Stegostoma tigrinum: one gene and its partner. The protein of the gene in region 2 purifies or fractionates together with the protein of the main gene of each other region. This does not show direct contact. Links are inferred from orthologs where the notes say so. Each region holds a gene or a part of one and is shown on either strand. Other genes may lie near its edges.

Region 1 (10,125 bases), on a different chromosome or scaffold from region 2:
GTCACATTGGCTCCACTCATCCTGTTGATCCTTCGCATGTGTTTGCAGAACTCAGGGCCATGAGACTCATGGTCTTTGTCATTATTTGTGACAAACAGCAAGGCATGGATCATTTCATGTAATAATGTCTATTGGGAAACCAAAAGGTTGTGATTAAATTTATGAAAATGCTCAGCAAATTGACTATGTACAAATGCAACTTTTTTGCTAACTGGCACTTATGGACCAGGAGTGTACCCAACTTTGCAACAGTAGACACGGATGTAAAATATTGTTTGGGTGGGGGGAGCAGGGAGAAAGGAAGTATGGTCCCTTTAAAAGTTGGGGTTTTTTTAGGCTTAAAGATCTTTTTTAAAAAAAGGAGAGAGAGTCTCCAGGCAGCAGATGCAGAGATTTGAAACTGAAACAATGTACCAAAAAGGCTATACTGTCAGCAGACAAAGCAGCATTTTTACTCCAACAACAGGTTTTTGAATTTAGCTAATTAATTTAAACCAGGCCCTAGATACCAAAACCCAATTAAATTTAAATGTGATGGTTTTGACAACCTTTTGTAAGAAATTAAGAGGTCATCAAGGGTATACAAGAAAAGATCATTTGAAAAACTGGTATGTGAGCAGCTGCCATCTGTTCAAAGTTAACAACCAGCAGCTCCAAGAGGAGAAAAAACACTGGCTTTCAGAATTCTCCAAGCTCTCTAAAACCATCATGTGACTAAACTTATGACATTTCCAGCTAATATTCCTGGCAAGAATTTGACAGGGAAAGGCACGCCTGACTGAAGGACAGTGGAGAAGGCACTAGACATTCCAGAAGACATTTCTAGTTGTAAATTGAGAGATTAAGTACTTTTTAATTAAATTTGATTTATAAGTGTAGGACTTCTATTTACTATAGCATACCAATAGAATTTTGTCTTATCCTGGAATAGTTTCTAGTTCAGGGGGGACAATTGTTCAGTTTCTAAGTAGTTATGTTTATTTGTTTATGGTTCGAGTAGTTAAATTGTTACTTGCTGATCTAGAGTGAGACTGTCAGGACCTCATTTCATTTAACCTCCCCTTTATAACAGATTGGGCAGTGAGAGGCAGACTATCACTTTTCACACTTGCTCTAAGAAACGAGGAGGAGAGGCTATCTTCTCTAGGGTGTTTCGGTTTCAGTTAGTTATCAGAGGCTGGGGTGGGGTCAACCTCTTTAATAAGATGTATCTATTGTTCAAGTATTCCAGTTAATTAAGAGAGGTCCTCAATGTGTAAAAACACACCTGAGTAATAGAAACATAATGCAATGGGTATGCACACATACTTTAATTACAGAATGAATTAAATTACTTAAATATGATGCAACCTTAAGACAGTCATCTCATTTGCACCCTCAACTGATTACTTGTACATTGCTAAGACTGCAATAATACAGTAAACCTGTTACTTAAGGGATATGACTTGCTGGTTTTATCTGAGATTGCAGTTAAAAAAGATATACTAAAAGCTCCAAGGGAATTTGGATTTAAGATGGTTATTTGGCCTGGAGCAAGCTGGAAAGAAACCAATATTGATGCAAACTGCCTTCAATGGATGCCAATACAACCATTTAAAAAGCTCAAACTGCATGAAATCTGTATGTACATCTGAGGTATAAAAGATGCTCACTTTAAAATAAAAATGCCCCACTTTATCAAGTTAAAAATCCATAGTTTTTGAGACTAAAAGTAGTTAAGGTCCAAACAAAAAAGTAGTCATGGCCAAATTTGAGATTTGCCTCACTATTACTGACTGGGAGTTCTACTTCAGCTTTTGAAGTCTCCCAGAGATTACACCAGGCATACTTGCAACTGAATTCGCTAAATATTCATCGTACTACCTTTCCAAATGTAACCACTTTTTTGCTCCGACCTGTTGTAAGTTTGAAACCCTGTACAATTATCCTCTTCACTAGCAGAGTGCTCCACTGTGTGTAGCAAGTGAAATTCAGCTAGGATTTGATGCAAGATACTTTCATTACTTCCGGTTAAGACTGATTTAGTTGCTTCTGTGATTCCAGTTATCTGGGATGCACCTCTTCCTGGTTATGGAAGGATAAGCAGCATGACTGAGGGATTGCAGAAAAGATAGAAATCCTCTCTACAAATGGTAGAGTTACTAAAAAGAAGTTTTCTTCAAGTTATCAGGCTTTTCATGTTTGCACAGGGAAGCATCACTTTCATCCCCAAACTCCAATAAAAATATAATAAAAATAAAAACTGCAAATGCTGGAAATCTGAACAGATTTGTGTTTTCAATAACACAAACAACTTGAAGAAACATAGGTCCAGTGACATCTGGAGAGAAAGCAGAATCAAAGTTTCAAGTCCAGTGACCCATCTTTCAAAACTACCAGACCTGCTGAGTTTCTACTGTAATTTCTGGTTTGTTATTATTGTAAACAAGAGTCTGTTTTGGCTTTCCAGCATCTGTGGCCCTTTGGCTTGTGTTTCCAATAAATACATAGTTTGCTTCATCGCTAAAATATTTTCATTTCAGCCAGCTCAAACAAGCTAGACAGACACCTCAGTCAAAATCAAAAAAGCTTTTGCTAAGCAGAAGCTGTGCAGCTTAACCCCACCAGTTATCCTCAAAAATGTCAATTTATAGGATAAATGGACATGTGGGACAAGTAGCCAGACAGCAAGAAAAATAGTTTACGTTCATAGATTTTTAAATTCATTTTCTTCAGATGTCCCTCTGCATCAGTCATTTATCTGAAGTTACAATATGGAAATCTACCACCTTAGCAGAGAACACGTTACTGTCACTACATCAGTGATTTCTGAGGTAATGCAAACCTGATACCCTTGGAATTTCAGAACTATAAAAACTTTCAACAGAGGGAGCAGCCTTGAACTTATTACAATGCAAGGAGGGTGGGAAGTATATGGACCTTCCATCATTAACACTATCCTGAAGAAAGGATCATGTTCCACAGAAGCATCCTTGCAGAAGAAATTCCTAACCTGGGGGAGATCAGTGCAGTTAGGACCACAGATTCACCAGCCACAATTTCTAAAAAAAAGTGTTGCAAAGAGAACACAGTCACAGGCTAACTAAATTACAGAGTATGTTAACAGGCTGAACTGCCTACTTGTAGAGTAGACTCAATTGACCAGGCACACTTAATGCCAGAACAGAGGCTGCAAATAATGTTTGAAGTTAAGTCTGAAGTGAAATCAGAATTTTATCAGCACACCAGCCTACTTCTTGTAGGAAGGAAATACCAGAGGTCACAGTATTGACACAATCAGCACATACCTCAACCAAGTCTCGCCTGGGTCGCAGTTTCAGCAAAGGTTCACTGATACGTATAGAACACAATCCTCCTCTGCCCTCATAGCTGCACACACCCGCACAACTGTAACAGATCCACAGTAGGTAAGCTCAATTTATTCAGCATGAGAAACAGCAAGTAGCACAAACAATCAACAAGAGTGAAGATTTAATGCAGATGTCAAAAGTGCATTGTCAAGTCTATCCAACTTTGTTTAGAGCGATTTTTTTGTAAAGGAAAAGATGGCAAAAATTGAGATTCAAGATTCCAGATTCCCTCCTTCAATGAGCAGGTCTTTTCAGCACATGCAAGAAAAAAGTACAGCTATTATTTGTAGAGATAACAGAGTGGAGGTGGAGGAGCACTGCAGCATCAGAAGAGCAGGCAAGATGCCATTTCGGCCCCTGCTTTTCTGGTGTTGCCTGACCTGCTGTGCTCCTCCAGCTCCACACTGTTTTATCTCCGACTCCAGCATCTGCAGTTCTCAGAGTCAGCTATTATTTGTGCCGTAGTCTTCTGGATTGGATATTGACGCTAAGTTTTGTTGACCGGCTTCAACAAGGAGACAGGGGAGTGGGATATCGCGGGAAGCACCGACTCCCCTTTCAGCAAACCGCGGTGAAGCCGCGGCCTATCCACAACTCACAGAGTCATCCGCGGGCTCCAGCGAACCTCCACCCCGGACAGCCGGCCCCAGAAATACAAGTCATTAAACTGCAGGAAGAGGCCGTGCAGGTCGGGGTTCGGGTCGATCAGCTCCCAATCCGGGTCCACCACGGACAGAGACGCCGGAGGCTGCGGGACCATACCAGGGCTCGAGCTGGCATCGCTACGGTCCTCCTCGTCCCAGGAGGCCTGCAACTGAAGCGCCAACAACAAATCACCATCCATACCGCTCAGCACCGCCTCCTGCAACCACCCAACTGACGTAGACAAACGGAGGTAGGGCCTCTCCCTTTACTTGGCGAATCACATGATGGAGCCGCAAACATAACAGCCAATGGCAGCGCAGGATGATACCACGGGCCACCCAATGACAAATCAGAATGGGACTACCAACGTTAACCAATGCAAAGTCAGCATTGGAGAAGCAAATCAACAGCCAAGCACAAAAAAAAGCTCAGCAGGTCTGGTCATCTGTGAAGAAAAAGATCAGAGTTCCGGTGACTCTTCCTCATGCAAGCGCACAATTAAAGACAGACAGCCAATCATGATCTAGACAGCTGTCAGAGCGACGAATGGGACTGCGGGTCACGGGGAGCACGGCAACCAATCGGACGCCGGAACCGCCACAGCGTGGCCAATAGGAGAGCGGATTACTGCTGGCGGCGCACCAGTCAGAAGTCAGTATTGGCGCAGTGTGACCAATGGGACTGCGGGTCGTTGCTGACGGCCAGCCAATTGGAGGCTGCAGATGAGCGGCGGAGCCCAGGCCTCGGTAGTCGTTTGGAGGAGCGACCTGACGCAGAGAGCAGGGCCCCCGAGCGTGGAGGCCGGACGGGAGCAGTTGTGAAAAACCCGAGGGCGGTATATATTGTGGTGGGGTGGCTAAATCAACCTCCCACCGGCGGCGGCAAGATGGCGGCGGACGTGGCCTCCAGGCTCCGGCGGCAGCTGGAAACCCCCCGCTTCGAGCCGGCCCAGTACGTGAAGCAGCTGTCGCAGCAGTCAGATGGTGACCGCGACCTGCAGGAGCACCGACACAAGATCCAGAGCCTGGCCGATGAGACGGCACAGAACCTGAAGAAGAATGTCTACAAGAACTACCGGCAATTTATCGAGACGGCCCGGGAGATCTCCTACCTGGAGAGTGAGATGTACCAGCTCAGTCACATCCTCACCGAGCAGAAGGGGATCATGGACGGCCTGACCCAGATGCTGCTGACCGCCGACAGGGAACAGCAGCAGCAACAGGGATCCCGCCAGCTGCAAGCCTCCATGGGCACGGCTGGCGGGACCTCATCGTCCTCTCTCGGCTCCTCCACCACAACTACCACCACCACCACCACCACCTCCACCTCCTCCTCCTCCGAAGCCTTCCTTATCCTGCCCCGGGAGGCCGAGGAGCACAAGCAGCGCACCCTCACCACCCTGCTGGAGAAGGTGGAAGGCTGCCAGGACATCCTGCAAACCCCGGGCCGCTACCTGGTCTACAACGGTGACCTGCTTGAGTGCGATGCCGAGAGCGCAGCTCAGATCCAGAGGGTGCACGCTTTCCTGATGAACGACTGCCTGCTGGTGGCTGCCTGGCTGCCCAGCCGCCGCGGGGCTGTTCGCTACCGCTACGACGCCCTGTATCCACTGGATAGCTTCGCCGTGGTCAATGTCAAGGACAACGGGCCCATGCGGGACATGTTCAAGATCCTCATGTTCCCCGACACGCGGGTCTTCCAGGCCGAGAACGCCAAGGTCAAGAAGGAGTGGCTGGAGATCCTGGACCAAACCAAGAAGAACAAGGCCCTGACTGAGCGCTTGGAGGTGGAGAAAGAGGAAGCCAAGGCCCGGCTGCTGGTGGCCGAGGAAGAGAAGCAACAGAGGCCTCTGTCACCGAAAACTAACCCATTTGAGGATGAGTCTGATCCAGCCATGGAGTTGGTGGACCTGAGCCTGGAATGGATTCAAGAGCTGCCCGAAGACCTGGATGTCTGTATTGCTCAGCGGGACTTTGAAGGCGCTGTTGACTTACTGGACAAATTGAACGAGTACCTGAGTAGAGCAACCAGCCAGCCCGCGGTGCGCCAGCTGAGGAGTCGTGTGGATCAGCGGGTCCGCCGTCTGACTGATGTGCTGATGTATGAGCTATCCCCTGGCCGCTCGCTCCGAGGTGGTCCACGGGCAACCCGCCGTGCTGTTTCTCAGCTGATCCGGCTGGGTCAGTCCACTAAAGCCTGCGAGCTCTTCCTGAAGAACCGGGCAGCTGCAGTGCAGACAGCAATCAGGCAGCTGCGCATCGAGGGAGCTACCCTGCTGTACATCCACAAACTCTGCAACATCTTCTTCACTGGCCTGCTGGACACGGCCAAGGAATTTGAGATGGATTTTGCTGGTGACAGTGGCTGTTACTCGGCCTTTGTGGTGTGGTCACGCTCAGCCACCCGGCTGTTTGTGGATGCCTTCAGCAAGCAGGTATTTGACAGCAAGGAGAGCCTGTCCACCACAGCTGAGTGCGTGGAGGTGGCCAAAGAACACTGCAGCAAGCTCAGTGAGATCGGCCTGGACCTCACCTTTACTCTTCAGGCACTGCTCGTCAAAGATATTAAGGCAGCCCTGCACAGCTACAAGGGCATCATCATGGAGGCCACCAAGCACAGAAATTCAGAAGAGATGTGGCGAAGAATGAACTTGATGACACCGGAGGCCTTGGCAAAATTGAAGGAGGAGATGAAAGCCAGTGGAATCACCAATTTTGATCAGTACACTGGAGATGACTGCTGGGTCAATCTCAGCTACACCATTGTGGCCTTCACAAAACAGCTGATGGCCTTCTTGGAGGAAGGGCTGAAGCTATACTTCCCTGAGCTGCACATGGTCCTTTTGGAAAGCCTGCGTGAGATCATCCTGGTGGCAGTGCAGCATGTTGACTACAGCCTGCGCTGTGAGCAGGACCCAGAAAAGAAAGTCTTCATTCGTGAGAATGTTTCATTCCTGTATGAGACTGTGCTCCCTGTGGTGGAGAGACGGTTTGAGGAAGGAGTTGGAACACCAGCCAAGCAGCTCCAGGATCTCCGCAATGGATCTCGAATCATTCGTGTCAATCCAGAAAGCACTAATTCATTTGTATAAACTCTAGGAGCACTTACAGATAAACCAATGATTGCAGACATTCCCTGCACAAGCATACACTTTTTTTTTATTAATTGCTTCAACACTAATGCTGCATAAACATTGTTTGTGGGACTCATCATGAACTCGCTACCTTAATAAATATACAACATGAAGATCAATGTTCTCCAGTAGATGTGAGCTGCCAATTTCAATTTCACCTGTCCTGTATTTTTGTGTCCTGTTGTATTCCACTAGTAAAAGCACTTGTGGCAGTATTGGTATTTGTTTTAATCAGAACACCGCTATGCAAGAACAATTGAACTTGATGAGAAAGTCTTTGCTGTTCAGCTGATCAGAATTCAGCATAGGAAGATTACATTTGAATTCTAAATGCCAAAACTGGGTTTTTTTTTAAAACTTCTCAGAATTATGGAACACTTAAAAAGAGTTTCAGCCTTTTAAGTCACAGGGAAGTACATCTATTTCAGCAACGACTAAAACATGCGGAGACCGCTGTTTCATAGAGTCATGGCATGTTGAACGCAGAAACAGGGCATTATATCTTAAAGTATGCATTGATGCTACTCTAACATAGTGTCACCGTCCTGACCAAGTCTGTTTTCAACCAACATGTCCCCTTTTAGTTTAATTTATGGCAAAGAATTGTAGGTTGTAACTAATCCCAATGTGAATGATTATTTTTCTAACATCTGATTTTAGTTTCTTTTTATTTCTGAACATGTCTAGATTTATTGGTTCTGGCTGTTGATATCAATTTGCAGCTCATTGAAATAGCACTTCTTCATTGTTAGATATGATGACCTGAAAGAATTAAGACAGCTCCCACGGTTGCTTTCTTTTTGCATGCGCCAACTATAGAAATATATTTTGTATTTGAATTCAGTGCCTGTAGTGCTGTTGTATGCACTCAGTGCATTGGTGTAAATTCAGAGTCATGATCTTTAACTTGTGGAAGATTTACAGTCATAGTTGTAAATCTGGAGTAATAATTAGAAAGGTGTTAATGAAATCCCGCCTGCCTTAACCAAGTTTCGATCACCTGCCCTAATGTGTCCTTATGTAGCATGCTGTCAAGTTTTGTTTTCCAACGTGTTGAGAAGCACCTTGGTGACATTTCACAATAAATAAATGAATTCCTATAAAAATCTTATTATTGACCCTTGCTATCAAACCAAACAAAAATTGATTTTGACTACTAAGTTGGTAATTGATGTTCTAATCTCCTGAAAAGAAAACTTATTCCTTTTTTTAAATATGGCCAATAATTCCAACCCATATAGTTACAGCATGCTTTCTGCAAAATTGCAGTCGTTTCAGTAAACAGTTCAAAGTTATTCCCAACTTTCAACATGTTCCCATTTCACTGCAATGTAACATGGAGCAACTGTCCGAAATCCTTTTTTTTTGTACTCTTGAGAATTTCCAAACCAACCTTTATCATTAAGGCCTAAGGGTGATTTCTCCTCATAGCCTCACAAGGGTAAATCTTCCAGTGTCCTGTTAGTTACTGCGGGTTTGTTTTCTTTGACCCTGGTCAAGCTGTTTTTCATGATTTAGCCTGGTAACTAACAGAGCGCACTCTCTCTCACTCATGCTCTCACTCTCTAAGTCTTTTTAGGCGAACTTTGCAATAAGAAGACTGTTTTGCTTCTGCCTTTGTCATTAAGGTTAACCTTGGCAGTGCATTTCAGCCTCTGAGGTACCCAAGGCACATGACTTGTTGGGCAGAATTCATAGATAACGACTCTTCACTCCTTCAGTTTTATTTTCTTAAAATTCATTACATGTTGGACTATCTTACCAAGACTTCGGATTTGTAACAGTAGTCCAACTTGTTCTGATAGATCACAGAAACTGAATATACTCTTTGTTTAAACATTTTCACATTACACACAATAAAATGTAGTAAGGCGAATTACTTTTGATATGTGTTTGCAATGCACAGTTTCTAGAAATGAAAATAATAAACAAAAAAATATACTGGAAACAAAAAATGAATTTGCAACAACTGCTTGCAGCTCAAAGCACTTAGAAGTATTTTTGAAGTGTAACCACTGTTAAAAGGAATGTGGCAGTTAAATTGCACGCTGCAAGGTCCCGAACACAGTGATTATATGATGGTAAATAATGATATTGATTAAGTTTGACATTGGTTGTGGAATATGTTTGTTGGCAAAGACACTGGAGAGAGCCCCCATACTCTTTGTTTGGTATCCACCTGAGACAGTGAATGGATGGTTCATACGGCCCCTCATTTGAGCACTTGCAACCAATATGGCATTCTTTCAGTATTGCACTAAGTTTGTTCACTTAGGACTTGTGCTCATGTCTAATGTGAACCGGCTATTTGCTGGGCACGGAACCAAAGCTGACACCATAGTGATGTCCTATGGTTTAACCTACGTGTGTTATGGAGTTATTTGCCCTTTTAAATATTATTTTCCTGTGTTATGAAATTATTTGTCCTTTTTAAATATAATTTGCTTCAGCAGTATTCAGGTTCTGTACTACCAAAAGCCAAGTTGTAGATGTGACGTTGATAATCTGTTCAGTTAATCAGACAATTACTCAGAAAAGCTGCTTTAGTGGGGCTGTCTACAGCTACAATGTATTATTTTAAAATTGTTAAATACAAGAATCATTGTTCTTTAAATGGTACTGTTTTAAACTGCAGTCTGTTTGAAATTGGTAAAATACGTATTCCTAAGTTTGAAAAATCCTTATTTCGAATAAATTACTTTTGAGGACTAAAGAAGTGCAATAAATTGGCCACATTCAAAATTTTACCTTTAATTCTAAGTAAATATCTGGCAATTTACAGTTGTTCCTGTTTTCAACAGTAGCACAGGAAGCCATTACCACATTCTCTGGCAGGGACAGATCATACAGTATGAGACAGTAAGATAAGGTGCAGAATTAAGTCAATGGTGTCTGCTCCATCATTTGCTCACGGTTGATATGTTCCTCAACCCCATTCTCATAGCCTTTTTCTGCACAGTAGGGATTCTATTTGGCCCTTCAAGCCCCCAAACACCA
Region 2 (10,434 bases):
TTCTTTGTTCTTATCTAGTGAATCTCTCTCAATTTCTCTCCCCACTCTGCTTCTAACAGGAAGGCAATTACCTATGAAAACATCGTAAAAAGAAAACAAAGACATAGAAAACAGAGATAAATCTGAGGTAGCTTAGGACATTGGCAGCTGAAGACAGAGCCAGCTGTGGTGCAGCAGTCAAAATCAGGCATTTGCAAGAGGCCAGAATTGAAGTACAGAGATATAAGGGCTGAGTGTCTGGAAGGTAGTACAGAGATAGAGCGGATTGAAAACAATTCATAAGTTTTAAACATTGAGGCTGCTTAACTGGGAGCCAATGTAGGCCATATGAATACTCAAAACATAAGCAGAAGGAAACCATATGGCCTGTCAAGTCTACTTCACATTCAACAAGATCATGACTCATCTGTTTGCTTAGAATTCCACATTCCCATCCAATCCTAAAGAACTGTCTGAAAAAAATTCAATAACTCCCCCACTGCTTTCTGAGTCAGAGTTTCACAACCTTCAGAAAAAAATTCTACTCCCAAGTTCTGTCCTGGAAGGATGAAGCCTAATTTTAAAATTGGCCCCTGGTTCTGAACTGACTCACGAAGGGAGACATGCTTTCCACTTCCACCTTTCAAGGCCATCAGGATCTTATGTATTTCAAACAAGTCACCCCTCTCCAACCAAACTAGTCTCATCAAACAACCCACTTACTGCAGTTATCAATCCAGTAAACCTCCTCTGAACCACCTTCAATTGTATCCTTCCTTGAATAAGGAGGCCAAAACAGCACACAGTACTTGAGATGTGGTCTCAAAACATTCTGTATAATTGAGGCAGAACATTGTCAATTTTATACTCAATTCCTCTCATCATGAAGGATAGCATTCCATTAGCCTTCTCGATTATGTGCTGTACCTGAAAACTTTGTGTAACTCCTAAGTCAGAACATCTATTTCCTTCTTTCAAACTGGCCAATGAGCAAAGGGCAGAATTGCCCAACGGGTTTCTCACCTCAAAATAGAACTATTTAGTTTCTCTGTTCTCCCGAGGGGGAGTTGATGTTTCTCATTTCAACACACGCAATTTGAGCACTGTGCCTGGTGCAGAAGGATCACAGTATCACAAAAGACAGATGCTGTTGTCTCCAAGAAACAATTGGTCAAAGCCTTGAGGGGCTTGCAGATGTGGATAACTGGGTTAAGTGTAGGTGTCTACTCTTACCTTCCAGCTGATCTTCTCTCACCACTGCTACCTTGTGACACTGGAATAAAGCAATATTGGAGTTAGTGGGTGATCAGCCAGCCAGTTAAACTCTCTATCCAAGGATAGACTACCAGGCCACATCTCAGCATCTCAAGCCCATACAACCAATTCTGCTTAAGAAAGCCTTTGTGATGATGTGATGCCAGTTGTAATCTTTGTCAGTGCTTATGTTGGAGGGTGCTGTTGTAACAGAGATCAGGAAGCAAGTCTCTCCCCAGCAAGCAGCATTGAGCCCAACTGTAGCAATCAAGTATGTCCTGGGTGAGATCAGCTAATTCAGTACAGATCAAGGCTGGAACCTGAGATTCTCTTACTGTATGTGACTGAGCGGCACACCAGAGATACATGCATCCCCGAAGCAAGCATGGGACCATATTTTAAAGAATGAGTAGAGTAATTAGGCTGATAAAGCTATAGATTATCATAAAAGGGGCTGAATAATTAGTTTAGTAATGAGAGGTGACCCCATTCAAATGTACAAGATCCTATGGGATTCTGACATTGAAAACTGAGAGGATATTTCAAATTGAGGGAAGAAAGTACTAGAATCTGGCAGCATCTGCGAGAGAGGAACAGAATTAATGTTTAGCGTGCAATGACTTTTCTTCAGAACCAATACTGCCAGATCTGCAGTTTCTTCAACACTTTGTTTAATTTCAGTTCTTCAATACTTTGCTTTTATTTCAAAATAAGGAACTTCTCATTTGAGGTGGATACATGAAACATTTCTTCTCTCAAAAGATAATTCGTCTTTGGAATTCTTTACGTCAGACAACAGTGGAGGCTGGATCATTGACTATATTCAGTGGTGAGTTAGGCAAATTTCAGACCAACAAGTAGTGTTAAGGTTAAGGGAGAGTGGTGGTGGTAGTCATGGTGGGGGAAATATGAAGGGGAGACATGCAGGAAAATGATGTTAAGGTTGTAATCATATCAATTGTCATCTTATTGAACGACTAAACTGCATTGACGGATCAATACTTTCCCCTTGCTCCTACTTCTGATAATCTAACTAAAGGATACATGGAGTGAGCAGAAAAGTGGGATTAGACTGGGAGCGGTCTTAAAGGATAGATGAGGTGAATGCGATTTGTTTGCGATGAAATCCACAAACTTGGTGGGCTATTTGCCCTTAGGCATTCCACAATAGAAAAGTGAGAGGATGTGAAAAAGTGGTCCTGACAATTCCTAATGTCGACTTTTCTGATGTCACTAATTGTTCCAAATAGACATACCGATATTCCATTTTCGACTGCTTTCCCTGACACGAGATACGTCACATGGAGCTGGGCTCCAGAATTTTCTTTCCGCTTTCGCTCCACGTAGTAATAAAGCATTCTGGGAAGCAGACAGAAGAGAAAATGACACAGTTAAAGGTACAAAACCTCTTGCAACAAAGCTAAACTGGTGAACAAGATCGGTCTCACAACCAGGCAGACAAACCTTGTTTTCAAAAGCAGTTGCTAAAAGATCCATACAAACTCCTTAATGGACCCTAGCAGAATCTCTCAGCAAAAGAGGGCTACTAAAGTTAGTAACAGGAAGATAGCCATGGGCAGCCAATACGTAGCAACAATTGAAATGGCACTAAATCTTGGGCGGCCGAGGAGTTAGCCCAGCTGCTCCACTGTGCCAGGAACCCTCAGGCAACTGTCTGTGTAGATTTTGCACATTCTCCCCATATCTGCATGCATGGCCTTCCTCTGGGTGATCCAGTTTCTTCCCAGAGTCCAAAGATGTGTGGGCTAGGTAGATTAGTCACGGGAAATACAGGGTTACAGGGATGAGGCAGGGGAATTGGGTATGGGTGGGTGTGAACTTGATGGGCCAATGGTCTACTTTCACACTGTAGGGATTCTATGAAACTCAAAATATCAGCTCCAGAATTCTCAATAACATCCATTTAAACTCGAGTGCATTTAAACTCGACTTTAACATAGAAAAACATTCCGGAGCATCTCACAACTATTAAATCTAAAACTTGGCACTCAGCCATGAAAGGAGACACAGATGAACAGAGACTTGGTAAACAGGGAGGTCATGTGGAATAGAAACTGAAAGTGCTGGAAAACCTCAGCGGGTCTTGAAGCATCAAGACAGGCTGGGATTATATTTACTGGCATTTTCTCACAGAAATCTATAAAATTATAAGCGGATTGGACTGGGAAAATGCTGGGAACTGGGAAGGATTTCCCAATGAGGAAAATGTCCAAAACCAGCAGTGGCAATCTAAGGATATGGGGACTGAGTTGAGGAGAAACTTCTACACCCAGAGATTGGTGAGTCTGTGGAATTCTCTGACACGGAAGTCAGTTGAGGCCAAAACATTAAATGCTTTCAAGAACGAAATTAGATATAGTTCTCAGGACTAAAGGGATCAAAGGGTACACAGGCAAAGTAGGAACAGCGTACTAAAACAGATGGTCAGCAATGATTATACCTAGTAGCCAAATAGCCTATGCCTGCTCTTATAATATTATCTTACCTTCTATTATACAAGACCACAATATAAATGCAAGCTTTTTCTTACAAATGATATTCAAATATTAGAAAATTTAACGTCAGATTTTACAAGTGTGACACACATCCTTCAAACTGTGACACATATGTCCACAACATGCATACCATTCCAATTTATGTCAGATGAAAAGAAAGAACTACGGTTGACCTATTATCTGATCTGTTCCTACCTGAGGCTATCAAGACCTATTGCAACATGTTTTACAACAATAAGGATGCCAGATAGCAAAATGCTAATGAAGCACACACAACTGTTATACCCACAATCTCTTCACATTTGGCCCATTCCCTCCACTCCTCACCGCAGATGTGGGTGACACAGGGATCCCTCTCCAGGAAATCTGACTGTGAGAAGTGGTTCTGTTGCATACTATTTGATGGTGGAATGTGACGCAAGGTGTCTCACAAATCATTGAACTTACTGTTTTGCCTGGTTGACATGAATGCCCAGGAACTGGCTCAGCATCTTGTAGGTGACCTGAAAAACAAAATCCAACTAGAAAAACAGGTACAGCAGCAAGACAAGAAATTACATTTCAAATGGGGTGTATATCCATTCCGTACCAAGGACATATGTTCCTATTACTCCAACATATTTCCCTGCAACTGCTCTCTTTAGTATATATTCAACCCCACATTGGGGGAATATCCCCCATCTGCGGTGTATATTCCCCGCCGCACCAACACCATTCCCCCCATGTATTCCCTCACACTTCCAACCCCCAATCCTGGGCATACATTCTCCCATTCATGTACCCACCCACCCCGGGTATATATATTCCCCCTTACACGCCCCCCCCGGCATCCCGGACGCGCGCGCGCGCACACATATTCCGGGTGTGTATTCGGACCCCGTCCCTCTCTCCCGGGTGTATAATCCCTCACACCCTGCCCCCGCTCACGATCCGGTTCTCATCCGCCACCAGCTCCTCGATATTCTCCAACAGCAGCTCAAGCTCCTCCATCATCGCGGCCGAAGCGGGAAAGCGAGGAGGGGTGAGAGGTCACGGGGCGGGGTCTACGGCGGGCGGAGCCTGCGCGTGCGGGGCGGTGGAAACCTCGGGGTCAAGGGTCATCGGCTGGCAGGAGCCTGTTTCCCCGGCAACCAGGCCGGTCGCCCGGACCCCTGAAAAGAAATCACCGTACAATAAAATCATTGTTTTTTTTTTACTGAAGGGCGTTTCATGGGGATTGCAAAACATGAACCAACGAGGGGGCAAATGAGTATAAAGTATTTTACTGCCGAAGGATTGCGGTGGGGTTAAAGGTTACAAAGATGGCGACGCTGCAGGTTTGAGCTGGTGACATTCATCTGAATTGGTAAGGAATGTTTGAATTTTCAAAACTCGGTTCAAGCTCAATTTATTTAAGAGCCTATGAAATTAGAATGCATTGCGGTATAAAGGATCCCCGTTTTCCGATGAAGGGTCTAGGCCCGAAACGTCAGCTTTTGTGCTCCTGAGATGCTGCTTGGCCTGCTGTGTTCATCCAGCCTCACATTTTGTTGTTGAATTTCACTATCTGCCTGAAGGTTTTGTGATGATTAGAAACCCAGTACAGAGTCTCACTGTTTATAAACTTGTAATAGTCAATGTTGGGTCACATCGATAGATGGGAGAGGTTGGGACTGTTTTCCTTGAAGCAGATCAGGTCAGAGGAGATTTGATTGAGGTGTTCGAACTGATGAGAGGTGCCGACTAACTTTCCTTTGAACACTGCCCAGAACCTCTCCCATAGATCGTCAGGCTGTTGCATGATTTCTGCTTTTGGAAGCCCCTGAAGATAACCGACCTCCGACGTCCGTGCAGAAGGAGGGGAGGAAAAGAAAATAAAAACAACTTTGGTCTGTATGGAGTAGGTAGGAGTTCCCACAGGTGAAAAGACCAAGAACACGAGTACAAAGATTTAACAGAATTGGCTATAGAAGAAACCGAGGCGTGAGGGGAAAAACGCATCCTCCCAAAGCAAGGGATTAAGATCTGGAATATACTGCCTGAAAATGTCGTGAGGATAGGTTTTAATGGTAATTGGATAATCTGAAAAAAGAAACATTTGCAGAGCTACAGGAAAAAGCAGGGTAGTAGCACTAGCCAAAATGCTTCTGAAGAGAGCTAGCATGGTATTTTGTGATCAGAGATAATGGGAACTGCAGATGTTGGAGAATCCAAGATAACAAAGCGTGAAGCTGGATGAACACAGCAGCTTGGCCTGCTGCATTCATCCAGCTTCACACTTTGTTATCTCAGAATGGTACTTTACTATGCTGTGACCATTCTTTGATTTTGAAATATCCCAAGGTGGTCCCCAAGTGGTGATGAAACAAAAAATATCAAAGAACTGTGGATGTTGGAAATTGGGCACAAAATTGCTGGAAAAAGTCAGTATGTTGGGCATCATATATGCAGAGAAAACAGGATTAATATTTCCAGTCCAGTGGCACTTTTACCCCAAGTAGCGATAAAACAAAATTTAATAAAGTCACAGAGATAGATGTATAGCAGGAAACCAATCCTTTAGTCCAACTTGTTCGTACCAATCAGACATCCTAAATTCATCTAGTCCCATTTGCTAGTATTTGGTCTGTATCCCTCTTAAACCCTTCCTATTCCTACACCCATCCAGATGCTTTTCATATGTTAGAAATCACACAATACCAGGTTATAGTTCAACAGGTTTGTTTGAAACCATAAGCTTTTGCAGCACTGCTCCTTCATCAGGGCTTTACCTGACAAAGGGGCAGCAGTCGGAAAGCTTGTAATTTCAGATAAACCTGTTGGACTATAACCTGGTGTTTTGTGATTTCTGACTTTGTCCACCCCAGTCCAACACATGCCACATCATGGTTTTTAAATGTTGCAATTGTACCAGCCTCCTCCACTTCCTCTGACAATTCATTCCATGCACTCCCCACCCTCTGTATGAAAGAAGTTGATCCTTGGGTCTGTTTTAAATCTTTCCCCTCTAACCTTAAATCTATGCCCTGGAGAAAAGACCTTGACTATTCACCTTGTCCGTGGTCGTTCTGACCTTCTATCTGGTCACCCATCAGCCTTTGCCAGGGAAAATATCCCTAGCCAATTGAACCTTTCGATAAAGCTCAAATCCTCAAATGTAGCAACATGCTTGTAAATCTTTTCTGAACCCTTTCAAGTTTCACAACATCTTTCTGATAGGAAGAACAGAATATGACCTCCCAACTCCAAAATTTAATGTGCTAACCAACAAGGGAGACTTGGGCCAGGTGACACAATGGCATTGATGTGATTTTCCTGAGGTTCATACTGAGTCCCCTTAGGTTGTATGTCCAATGTAATGTGTTTGGGTCATGAATTGCTCCTCCACTTAAGTAACAATGTTCGATGGAGAGTGCAGGAGGGCTCCAAGCAGCATCACTGAGCAAATCTTAAAATGAGGTGAAAACCTGATGAAGCTATAACGCAGGACTATTTGTGTGCCAAATGACAAGTATTAGGCAGCACTAGGATTACACAACTAACCGATCAGAACTAAGGGTCTGAAGACTCTGGATTCGGGCATCAGCAGTCCTTATTGTCTCCAGGTCAGAACTAAACTTTGCAATCCTGCCAAATCCAGTTGTGAACAGTAATGGTCAGTAAGTGAATCATTGGAGGAAAAGGCTTCAGAAATATCCCATCATCAAGGATGAGGAGCCTAGCACATCATTTCAAAAGACAAGGCTGAAATATTTGCATCCATCTTCAATCCAAAGGGCTGAATAGATGATCCATCTCAGCCTGTGAAGGTTCCCTATTTTCAATCAATTTGATTCACTTCACTTCATGATTTTAAGAAACAGTTGAAGTTAATGGATAGTGCAAAGTCAATGGGTCCTGGCAACGTTCCAGCAAAGGTCATGAACAGTTGTGCTCCAAAATTTGAAAAGCTACAAATTTACTGAGCCAAGTGTTCTATTGTAGCCACAACATTGGCGTCTACCCAAAAATGTGGCAGATTTTCTAGGAGTGCAGGTTACTATTCCATGAAAATTGAGTTGCAGTTAGATAGATGGGGTAATGAATGTATTTGGTATGCTTACATTTATTGGTCGATGCACTGAGTATAGGAGTTGGAAGATCATGTTGCAGACATACAGGATGTTGGTAAGGCCACTATTGGAATGCTACATGCAATTCTGTTCTCCCTGCTTTAGGAAGAATGTTGTGAAACTTGAAAGGGTTCAGAAAAGATTTACAAGGATGCTGCCAGGGTTGGACGGCTTGAGCTATAGGGTAGGGCTGAATAGACTGGGGCTGCTTTGCCTGGAGCGTCGCAAGCTGAGAGATAACCTTATGGAGGTTTATAAAATTGAGGGGCATGGATAGGATAAATAGACAAGGCCTTTAACCTGGAGTGGGGAAGCCAAAACTAGAAGGCATATGTTTAAGTGAGAGGGGAAAGATTTAAAAGGACTTAAGGGGCAACTTTTTCACAGTGCATGTTTGGAATGATCTGGCAAAGAAAGTGGTGGAGGCTGGTACAGTTACAACATTGAAAAAGCATCTGGAAGGGTTGAGAGGGACATAGACCAAATGCTGGCAAATAGGACTAGATTTATTTAGGATATCTAGTCAGCATAGATGAGTTGGACCATTGGGTTTCTGTGCTATACAACTCGATGACTAACTCTATGAATCTGAAGTATTTTCTGTGCACCAAAAAACAGTACAAATGTATAAGACCGTAAGATATAGGAGTGGAAGTAAGGCCATTCGGCCCATCAAATCCACTCTGCCATTTAAATCATGGCTGATGGGCATTTCAATGGAACGGAAACAACTTCCTAACGTCCACCCCTTCTAAGCCATACATTATCTTGTAAGTTTCTATTAGATCTTCCCTCAACCTTCTAAACTCTAATGAGTACAATCCCAGGATCCTTAGCCGTTCATCATACGCTAAACCTACCATTCCAGGGATCATCCGTGTGAATCTCTGCTGGACACACTCCAGGGCTAGTATGTCCTTCCTGAGGTGTGGGGCCCAAAATTGGACACAGTATTCTAAATGGGGCCTAACTAGAGCTTTATCAAGCCTCAGAAGCCCATCGCTGCTTTTATATTCCAACCCTCTTGAGATAAACGACAACATTACATTCGCTTTCTTAATTACGGACTCTACCTGCAAGTTAACCTTTAGAGAATCCTGGACCAACACTCCCAGATCCCTTTGTACTTTTGCTTTACGAATTTTCTCACCATTTAGAAAATAGTCCATGCCTGTATTCTTTTTTCCAAAATGCAAAACCTCACATTTACTCACATTGAATTTCATCAGCCATTTCCTGGACCACGTTCCTAAACTGTCTAAATCTTTCTGCAGCTTCCCCACCTCCTCAGTACTTGGCTAATTCCCACCCCATCAGTCTGCTCACAATCATCAACAAAGTGATGGAACAGTATCATTTGTTACCACAAACAAGGTCATTCTTGCAGAACCAAGGTCACTATCTTCCTGATAATAAAATGTGAGGCTGGATGAACACAGCAGGCCAAGCAGCATCTCAGGAGCACAAAAGCTGACGTTTCAGGCCTAGATCCTTCATCAGAGAGGGGGATGGGGTGAGGGGTCTGGAATAAATAGGGAGAGAGGGGAAGGCGGACTGATGATGGAGACAAAAGAAGATAGGTAGAGAGGAGAGTATAGGTGGGGAGGTAGGGAGGGGATAGGTCAGTCCAGGGAAGACGGACAGGTCAAGGAGGTGGGATGAGGTTAGTAGGTAGGAGACGGAGGTGTGGCTTGGGGTGGGAGGAAGGGATGGGTGAGAGGAAGAACAGGTTAGGGAGGCAGAGACAGGCTGGGCTGGTTTTGGGATGCAGTGGGGGGAGGGGACGAACTGGGCTGGTTTTGGGATGTGGTGGGGGACGGGGAGATTTTGAAGCATGTTTGTTAGTGAGCAAAGGGACTTGGGAGTCCTAGCTCAGAAATATTTTGCAGTCAGGAAGGCAAATGCCATGTTAGCATTCATTTCAAGAGGGCTAGAATAAAGAGCAGAGACGATCTGCTGAGGCTGTATAAGATTGTGATTGGACCGCAGTTGGAAAATTGTGAGCTGTTTTGTCCCTGTATGTGAGGAACGATGTGTTAGTGTTGGAGGGGATCCAGAGAAGGTTTTTATAAGAAAATTACAGCACAGTACAGGCCCTTCGGCCCTCAATGTTGTGCCGACCTGTCATACTGATCTCAAGCCCATCTAACGTACACTATTCCAAGTACGTCCATATGCTTGTCCAATGATGGCTTAAATGTACTTCAAGTTGGCAAATCTACTACCGTTGCCGGCAAAGTGTTCCATTCCCTTACTACTCTGAGGAAAGAAACTACCTCTGACATCTGTCCTATATCTTTCACCTCTCAATTTAAAGCTATGCCCCCTCGTGCTTGCTGTCACCATCCTAGGAAAAAGGCTCTCCCTATCCACCCTATCTAACCCTCTGATTATTTTATATGTTTCAATTAAGTCACCTCTCAACCTTCTTCTCTCTAATGAAAACAGCCTGAAGTCCCCCAGCCTTTCCTCGTAAGACCTTCCCTCCATACCAGGCAACATCCTAGTAAATCTCCTCTGCACCCTTTCCAAAGCTTCCACATCCTCCTTATAATGCGGTGACCAGAACTGTACACGATACTCCAAGTGCGGCC

Evidence for each region.
Region 1: the proteins of pold3 (region 2) and sprtn purify together in Homo sapiens (affinity purification with mass spectrometry; 3 studies listed by BioGRID, with this or other methods). This does not show direct contact. The link is inferred for Stegostoma tigrinum from reciprocal best matches to the Homo sapiens genes POLD3 and SPRTN.

The regions. Positions count from the first base shown.
Region 1 is NC_081357.1:94,378,919-94,389,043, reverse strand, and holds the start of sprtn (DNA-dependent metalloprotease SPRTN), read right to left. Parts: upstream 4,237-10,125; 5' UTR 4,195-4,236; coding exon 3,950-4,194; intron 3,388-3,949; coding exon 3,288-3,387; intron 129-3,287; coding exon 1-128. Other genes in the region: exoc8 (exocyst complex component 8), read left to right, coding at 4,882-7,086. UniProt on the Homo sapiens protein: DNA-dependent metalloendopeptidase that mediates the proteolytic cleavage of covalent DNA-protein cross-links (DPCs) during DNA synthesis, thereby playing a key role in maintaining genomic integrity.
Region 2 is NC_081359.1:111,413,564-111,423,997, forward strand, and holds the start of pold3 (DNA polymerase delta subunit 3), read right to left. Parts: upstream 4,773-10,434; 5' UTR 4,743-4,772; coding exon 4,662-4,742; intron 4,253-4,661; coding exon 4,197-4,252; intron 2,593-4,196; coding exon 2,490-2,592; intron 1,253-2,489; coding exon 1,213-1,252; intron 1-1,212. UniProt on the Homo sapiens protein: Accessory component of both the DNA polymerase delta complex and the DNA polymerase zeta complex.